Linked DNA regions of Rattus norvegicus. The protein of the gene in region 2 purifies or fractionates together with the protein of the main gene of each other region. This does not show direct contact. Links are inferred from orthologs where the notes say so. Each region holds a gene or a part of one and is shown on either strand. Other genes may lie near its edges.

The links. The genes of interacting proteins can lie anywhere in the genome.
Region 1: the proteins of Ppp2r2c (region 2) and Ier5 purify together in Homo sapiens (affinity purification with mass spectrometry; 3 studies listed by BioGRID and IntAct, counting the BioPlex papers as one, with this or other methods). This does not show direct contact. The link is inferred for Rattus norvegicus from reciprocal best matches to the Homo sapiens genes PPP2R2C and IER5.

What each region holds. Positions count from the first base shown.
Region 1 is NC_086031.1:69,819,945-69,824,029, forward strand, and holds Ier5 (immediate early response gene 5 protein), read right to left. Parts: upstream 2,599-4,085; 5' UTR 2,413-2,598; coding exon 1,486-2,412; 3' UTR 506-1,485; downstream 1-505. UniProt on the Homo sapiens protein: Plays a role as a transcription factor. Mediates positive transcriptional regulation of several chaperone genes during the heat shock response in a HSF1-dependent manner. Mediates negative transcriptional regulation of CDC25B expression.
Region 2 is NC_086032.1:78,153,407-78,157,480, forward strand, and holds the start of Ppp2r2c (serine/threonine-protein phosphatase 2A 55 kDa regulatory subunit B gamma isoform), read right to left. Parts: upstream 2,807-4,074; 5' UTR 2,496-2,806; coding exon 2,426-2,495; exon of another isoform or gene 2,377-2,425; coding exon of another isoform or gene 2,349-2,376; intron 1,623-2,348; exon of another isoform or gene 1,596-1,622; intron 1-1,595. UniProt on the Homo sapiens protein: The B regulatory subunit might modulate substrate selectivity and catalytic activity, and might also direct the localization of the catalytic enzyme to a particular subcellular compartment.

The DNA of each region.
Region 1 (4,085 bases), on a different chromosome or scaffold from region 2:
CATCGGTTTCTTCATGACTGGTCCTACTAAGACCTCTAAAGTTGCTTTCTAAACCCCACTCCCACCCCAATTCAAATCTACAAAGTGACCCATGGTCTAATAGATTACCAGATCTGTTTAGGAAACAAAGTTTTGGTGGAAATACTTGATATTGGAAAGGCTGTAAAACTTGGCGTTTAGTATTATTTAATATTAAAGATTCCATCAAGTCAAACTATAGAAAACCATGACTACAGAGAAAGCTGTTTCAGTGGCAGGTTTCAAACTGCCAGTCATTAATTCCAGTATCTATTAGTCCTGTGAATGGGGATGTGCGTGAAAACAAAAAAACCAAACCAAACCCTTAAACGTGTCTCTCTTGATACTTATTCTAGTCAGCCAACAATGTCCCTAGCCTGTGACTGGCTGATACGAAGAACCACACCTTCCATTTCCCAGCCTGGCTGCCCCTCCCCCCACCTGGTTGGAAACCCAGACAAGTGATTACATACATACAAGCAGGTAGTGGAGTTGCTTCAAAATATTTAATACGTGTTAGACACGTAAAGTTACATTTTTATACAAAAATCAATACAGAGGAGGAGAAAATACTGTACAAAAACCTTATCAGCTCCCCCAACCTTTATACAACAAAGACTGGAGTCACCGTATCTACAAAACCATAAGGTCCTTCCACTTAGAGCTCGTCTGTAAACTTTGTTTCATTAAACACTTTTTAAAAGCACTGTGTAGTAAGTTCTGAGCTAGAGCTTTTAAAAATATATCTTTTTCTCTATAAACTCCATATTTCCAAGCTTGAACTCTTCTGTGAAGTTCAGCAAGCTTTTTTTCCCCTGTGGGGAATTGAAGGTCCCTTAATGTTCTGCTTTCCCAGAGTAATCACAGGGTAGAAGCGCTTCTTCTGTGCCAGAGAAAGATGGGGAGGAAGAAAAATAATACAAGTCTCTACTCCAGACGAACTCCCTCTAGTCTGGGGAAATCCTGTGAGAAAACGCCACTCCGCGCCCCGGTGTGGTCCTAGCTTTCAGGAGAGAGGTTGTGTGTAAAGTCCCTCTCTTCCCCAAGATCGATCGGGGAACTCCCCTGTCTCGAACCTTTCAGCAGCTTCCTTTTCTGTGCTGCTGGCAGAGGAAAGTCCCTGTTTGCACCCCCAAAGTCTCGAGAACGGGGAAGGGGTGGTGCATTCCAGAACCACAGAATCGTCTCAACACAAGACAAACTTACACATGGACACACACTGATACAAAAGTTAACGATCGATCGTCCTCTTCCAATAAGCCTCCCACTCTAGGTCTCAGGATGAGACTCGAGAGCCACGGCCCAGCCGGGCTGCCCCTTCCGGGGCGATGTGCTGCCCGGCAGCAACCAGTCTCCCTTACGCGCCCAGCGCCTACGGTCTCGGCTCGTCCTCGCGGCCGGGAAAGGCCCCGGCCGCACTTCGGGGACTCCCGCTGCTCAAGCTCCAGCCGCTCAGGTCCCGGGGGATCAGAAGGCCACGATGGCTGTGCTCCAGGGGCTCATGTCTCTCAGAACCGGCTTGTCGCAGCAGATCTGCCCGGGCTCGGAGGCTTCCGGGCCGCCCTCCTCCGCCTCCTCTTCCTCCCGCCCGGCCGCAGGGCTTTTCCGTAAGAGTCCCGAGAAGCTAGACCCGAAGATGCTGATGAGGTTTGCCACGTTCCCGGTTTCCATCTCCTCGTCGGTGTCCTCCTCGTCGGTGACCGGCTGCTCCTCGGAGTTCCGGCGCGGCTTCTTGAGAGGGGTAGAGCCGGGCGCGGAGCAGCCCGCGCGGCCGCCACCCACTCCCGCTGCGCCACGCTTCCTGGGACACGGGGCGGCTGGCGCCGGGGACCCGTTCTCTGAGGACCGCTCCTCCACGGCCGACGGACAGCCACACGGGCGGCGCAGTGCCCGGGGCCCCTCGGAGCACGCGTCCGAGCTGCCTCCAGAAGGCGCCACGCGCGGACGTTCCACGCGGCCCCAAGCAGCTGCCGCCGAGTCCTCCTCTCCGCCCCGTAGAGCGTCCTCCGCTCCGGACACCGCGGCCACCGGTTCTGGGCTTCCCGCTCCCGGCGTGTGGCACACCGAGGGACGCTGAGGCTGAGGCTGAGGCTGCGGCTCGGGCTCCGGCCAGGCGGCGCGGGCGACCGGTGGGGGCGGCTCTCCCCAGCCAGATGGTGGCCCCGCTACCGGCTCTCCGGGCTGCTGTGGCGGCGGTACCGCCGGGGTCCCCGCAGGGCCGGCCAGGTAGAGGCCAGGGCAGGGGTCACTCAAGTAGACTTGGCGGGCGCTGCGCAGCACTAACGACACCAAGAGGTTCTTGTGCAGCTTGATGCCGCCGCGCTGGACCCGCGAGTTGTAGATCTTGCCCAGGGAGATGCTGACGATACGGTGAGCCTCCAGCTTGAACTCCATCCTGCCTCCTCTTCCAGACGACGGGGTGAACGCCTGCTTGCCTTCTAAAGCTGAGAGAGGCGCGAGAGGCAGGAACAGGTTCGCCTCTGTGGTTGTACCCTCAGCGTGTGAAAGCTCGGTGGAGAAAAGATCTAGTGATGCGTAGTTCCCTCCGCCTTTTCTCCTCAGTCAACAGACCCGTTCTGGGCCAGCCTCTAAACTGAGCGGTGCGGGGCCACACCGCGGTTTATATATGCTCCGCGAACGCCAATCACAAAGCGCCGCCAACCGTTCTGGGCGGGCCGATGCGCCTCGTGCGCCACCCCCGGCCAATCAGAGGCAGAGGAGGAGCCCCGGGGCCGGTTCAAACGTTAGTCCCGCGGAGCAAGCTCTTAAAGGGGGAGATCGCAGGCGACCCTTTGATCAAGTGCGGTGGGATTTGTGTTCTGAGCGGGTGATGTGGTAGAACGAAGCACACAGAACTGTTTGTAGTTAGGAATTCCGCTTTGTGAAGTACATTGGCACACTGTAAGGAACCGAACTATTGGGGCTTTCATCCGTTTAGTGTGTTGGAATCTACTGCACAATAAAGTTCGGTTCCTTTCATGAGCAATTTCCAGCTGCTTACAGCTGGTACAGCTGTAACTTCTGGTCATTCTTGGCAGAAACGGAAGCGATGGCAATATATGACAACTACCACGATATATTTGAGATATTATTTTGGAGTTAGTCCCTTTCCCATTAGCGTTACACTCAGCATTTGACTACAAACAAAAAGGGGAGTTTATAGAAATTTCCAAGCTTCTGCTTTATCAAGGAACAGAATTCAGGCACAAAGTTATTGGTTCTCGTCCAAAGCTGGCATATTTCATTCCATTCCTCAGATTCTCAGTTGTCAGTATAGATTAAATGAAGATGTTACCTACTTTTCCACAATGGTTTTGTCTGTTTAAAAAAATGCACAGTAAGTAATTGATCTATTCTTGGGGAAATCTAGTAAGTTCTAAAAATACAAATAAAGAAGTTCTGGTTCCCCATATTGATTATGTAAATTTGTTTTGTGTCAAGTATGGGCAAAAGTTCCTAAAATTTTCCTGGTTAGTCAATGTAGTCCATCCACTGAGTCTTACAAATTCCTGTCAAAAAGACCACGACAAGATGGTACTGGTGCCTGATGACTCAGTAAATTGCCTCATGGCCCTTTAGTTTCAAATCTAAAAAGGAAAAATCATGTATATACCTTCTTTATTATACAGAAGATAAATGACAGCTCCCAGAGGTAATCTAAATAATAAAATTAACCACAGCTTACACAGAGTCTATTAGTGTGAAAAGTTTACCTCATCCTACAGTAGGGTTTTCCTAACCAATGTATTTATGTAGAAGAAACACTAGTGAGGTAGGCTTGATTAGAGCTGGTTAACAACTAGGATGCGCTCAGATATGATGCTTTGGGGTGCTAGCTTTGGCCATTATCCCTGCTATAACTGAAGCCCAGGGTTCCCCCCTTCCAGGAATTCTCAGTCCACATAGAGAAGGAGAGAAAACATTTATAACATGTAGCAACCACAACGTATGGTCAGTAATAACATGAGGTTCTTCTCCATTTTCTCTCCTTAAAAAAATTTTTTTACAAATATTTATTGAATATTGAAATCCAAGTCTGCATCTAGATCCTGACCACTCACCCTTAA
Region 2 (4,074 bases):
CATCTAAGTGAGCAAGGGGCCTACCTCCAGGTGGGAATGGGAAGGCATACACGTGGGTCTTGTGCAAAGCAAGTCTCTAGGACACGATGACTCTGGTGACATTTATCAAATACCTCCAGGAGGCCCGATCCTATCTGAGAGCATTTGACACTCTCAGGGCTACTGCCATCTCAACAATCCTGAGCTAGAGGCCACTGTGACTTCTCCCTTTACAGAGAAGACAAATGAAGCCCAGTGACTCATCCAGGGAGGCTGAACATAATTTTGTAGGCCAGGAGACAAAATCTGTGACCTTGAACTCGGGGATCCTATAGTGTGACTGGTGTGTGTGTGTGTGTGTGTGTGTGTGTGTGTGTGTGTATGTGTGTGTATGGGACACCTTCGTTTAAATTCCCTACTCCTTTCAGTTAGATTCTAAGGGAGTTTCACTCTATAAACGTTACTCTTCTACATCCCTGAGGGGTAGAAACATCTGAGTCCTGTGTCCTACACACACTGCCCACTGCCCAGGGCTCATGAAGAGACCTTCCACCAGGCCCTATGTGAAGCATTAGGGCACAGTAGGTGCTCAAGACATTTCAGTTGTCAATCACCTCTACAGGTCGAAGGTAGGCAGGGAAGGGGGCTTTGTTTCCTCCCATTGTACAAATAGGGAAAGTGAGGCATATGAAAAAAGGCTTCCCCACAAGTCACAGGGATCTCTGCTACAACATGGGATGAAGGAGGGCAAGGGACCTCCATCCAACCCCAGCGATGAAAGCTTAAGGTTTGGCGGATGGCAGTAGCAGCCACTAGCAGCCACTGAACCATGAAGGTACTTCCTCCTGTGAACCTTGCTGAGGTGGGTTTATTAAGGAAGAGGAAGAAGGATACGGACCGGAACAACCCTTTGAGCTGTCCCTGCCTGTGAGGTGGGCACTATGCATTTTGTGTTTGGCACACATAAACGCTGAGGCCCGCTGGTTCCCAGTGTGCAGATGAGAAAACTGAGGCTTTCCTCCAGAAAGCCAGACCAACACTGGCCCTGCACAGGACTCCCTGCCAAGAAGCCCCGCAGCCGACCTGCCACGCAGGCTGCCTTCTGCTGCTAGGCAGGCTGTAAGCAGATAATCATCTTCGCGAAGCGCGACCCTCCTCCGCATCACCCAGCGGGCGACAAAGGGCTGAGTTCTGCGCCAGGAGCCTCCCAAAGCCCGGTAAGGGCAGCGCCGCCACCCAGCCCGAGCCTGGCAGCCCTACCCCCTCTCCCCGCACACCCCGCGGCAACGTGTGACTCAGCGGTTCTCGGCGCGCGGAGCCCCGCTCTCAGCATCAGCATCTGCACGCCCGGGTCGCACACCTAGCCTCTGCCTCTGGGGTCCGCGCGCCCGCCGGGAGTCGCCGCGCCCGCCTCATTTCCGGCGGAGCTCGGCACTGGGGAGGCCATGCCCACGCAGGTTCGTTGGAGCAGGCACCCACGCGCGCCGGCCCCCAGGACTCAGTGCCAGGGCCCCTCCCACCGGGTCAGCCACCTGCTTAAACCCTAGACACCCTCCCCACCAGGCTCGCAGCCCCGGGGAAGAGGCTCCTACACTGCCCGGGGAGGTTTCCAGCACCTGCATGCCGGCGGGTTGCTGTGGCCAGGTCTGGCACTCCCTCACTGCAGCAGATTCACTTCTCCGGCCCCCGGCTGCGCGCTGGAGCTGTCCCCACCGTTCCTGTGGCCAGTCAGGGGCTGGGGACTCCGGAAGTTACTGTCACATTAGCAAAGGACACCGATCCTCTGCATCCCACCAGCCTTTGGTGGGGGCTGACGCACAGGGCCAACTTAGGGGGTTTTAAACGCAGAGCCTCTTTGGGGTAACATGCCCCACTTTTCCGGAAAACCACGAATATCTGGCCCAGCTCCTTCTCAGTAACACTACCCGGGAATAAAACAGTAGACCCTACGAGCCTCTTTCCCCCTCCCACGCAGGGGACCTGCCTCTGGAGGCCGGGGAGGTGCCAGGGCAGCTGAACCCTAGAGGATCTGGCAATGAAATTTTTTCCCTCCTGGGTCCCTCTCCAGGGAGTGGGCAATCTAGAAATTTCTGCGAGCTTTGGCCCGGCTGAAAGGGCAAATGAAGGATTTTTAAGCCTTTCCAGGTCCTGGAGATTTCCACACCAGATTTGCTGCAGCCTTGGGCTTTGTAAATGATAGTCAGGGCCCGATCCAGTGCCACCCGGCGAGGGAAGGACAGCTGCGTTCCCGAGGGCGGCACGGAGGAGGGCGCTGGGCAGTGGCCGAAGCCCCTGGGTTCCCTCCCTCCCGGCCCGGGGTCGGGGTGGGGGGGGGGGGGGGGACACGACACACAGCGCGCGGTCCAAACCTTCGGAGGGCATTCGGTGCGACGGCATCCCCACGCCGCGGCCGGCCGGAGGGGGTCTCAGACAACACGTACGTTACCTTCTGTCACATAGCTGTGGTCCCGCAGGAAGCTGTGGTTAATTTTCCGCGTGTCCGTGTCCTCGCCCATTGAAGGCCGCGCCCGGTGCCCTGGGCATGCCCCGCCGCCGCACACCGATGCAATCCGCAGAGGTCGCGCCGGGCGCGCGGGCCATGCCGCCGCAGCCTAGCAGGGTCTCGGGCCGCCGGGGCCCGGGAGGGCGGGCATCGCGGTCAGGTGGTCGGGGACCGGCGGGTGGGCGCCGCGCTCAGGCGAGCGTGCGGCGGGCAGGCGGCGGCCGCAGCGTGGGGCGGGCCGGGGCCCGGGCGCACATCCCGGCCGCTCCGTTCGCGCTGCGTCCGGGCGCCTGGCGGTGGCGGCGGCGAGGGGACGCGCGCGGCGCTGAGCCGGGCTGCGCCGTGGCGGGGCCGTGTCGCAGGCCCCTCCCTCCGCTGCACGCCTCTCCGCCCCCGGCCGCGCAGCCACCGCGCAGGTGGAGCTGATGCGCGGAGCCCCGCCACAGCGGTCACCTCCGGAGCCAGGGACACCTATCCAGAGTGAAGGCCACCTTGCTGGCCAGATGTTTTATTTAGGGACAAGGCAGTTGGAGGAGAGACTTAGGGGGGTCGGGAGCGCGAGGACGTCGCGGCCCTTTATTAAGGAGAAGATGGGGGTTGTTCTGATAATTGCGGGGGGGTTGGGGGAGGCGCCCCTCCCAGCGCGCCTTTGGGGCCGGAAGGTCAGCACCCCACAAGGCGGAGCTGGATAATTCGGCTGGGGGTGAGTTGCCTCCTGTCCTGTCCACCTTTCTAATGGGAGCACTGAGGCTGGTTGGCTGCGCTTGCTCCTTGGAGCCTCTGTCAAGTGAGGGCTTCTGCCACCCTTCCCTCTAGTTCTTCTTTCTTTCCTCTCCTCCTTCCTCTTCTTCCCTCTCTCACTTTTCAACACTTCTTTCCTCCTTCTCCCTTTTCAGTACTTATTCCCTTGCCTCCTTCTTGTGTTCCTAAGCCCCCACCCCCAATCCCCTTTCCTACTTCCTTCCTCCCGTCCTTAGTCATCCAGGCGCTTCCAGCATCCTACAAGAGCCAGGGAGGCAGGGCGGCTGCGGCGGGAGGGGAGTGTGCTCACTTCTTTTACCAAACTGCCTCTTCCTACTGACTCCTACCTTGAGGAATTTGGAGCATGCACGGGGCCTTGGGAGTGTTGATCTTTTAGCCTTGCTGTGTTCTCAGTAAGTCTTGCTGTGACAGGAGAGCAGCTTCAGCCTCCTTTGGGAGAGGCTAGTCACTGAGGTAAGCAGGGAAAGTGGACTAGAGTCCAAGGTATTAGGCACAAGCTTAGGGTGAGGGACACCAAGGCTGCTCCCCCTTCGGAGGTACTGTTTCAGCTAGCCTTTGGGCCCCCAGACACCTCCCCAGTCCAGTCCAGAGGATGTTGGATGGGAGAGAGTGGGTTAAAGGGACTCTGGTTTCTTACTGGAGAATGAGGGCATCCAGAGCTAGAACTGATTCTCCAGAAAGGCCTACTGAGGACTTCAAGGGGTAGCAAATACCCCAGAGTCCTCTAGAGTGTCTGGAGGGGAGGAGGCTAGACCCCTGAGACCTGGCGCTTGCCCTACAGAGCAGGCCACCATTGCCCACCTGGCCTAGGTGCAGATTCAGGGCCAAAA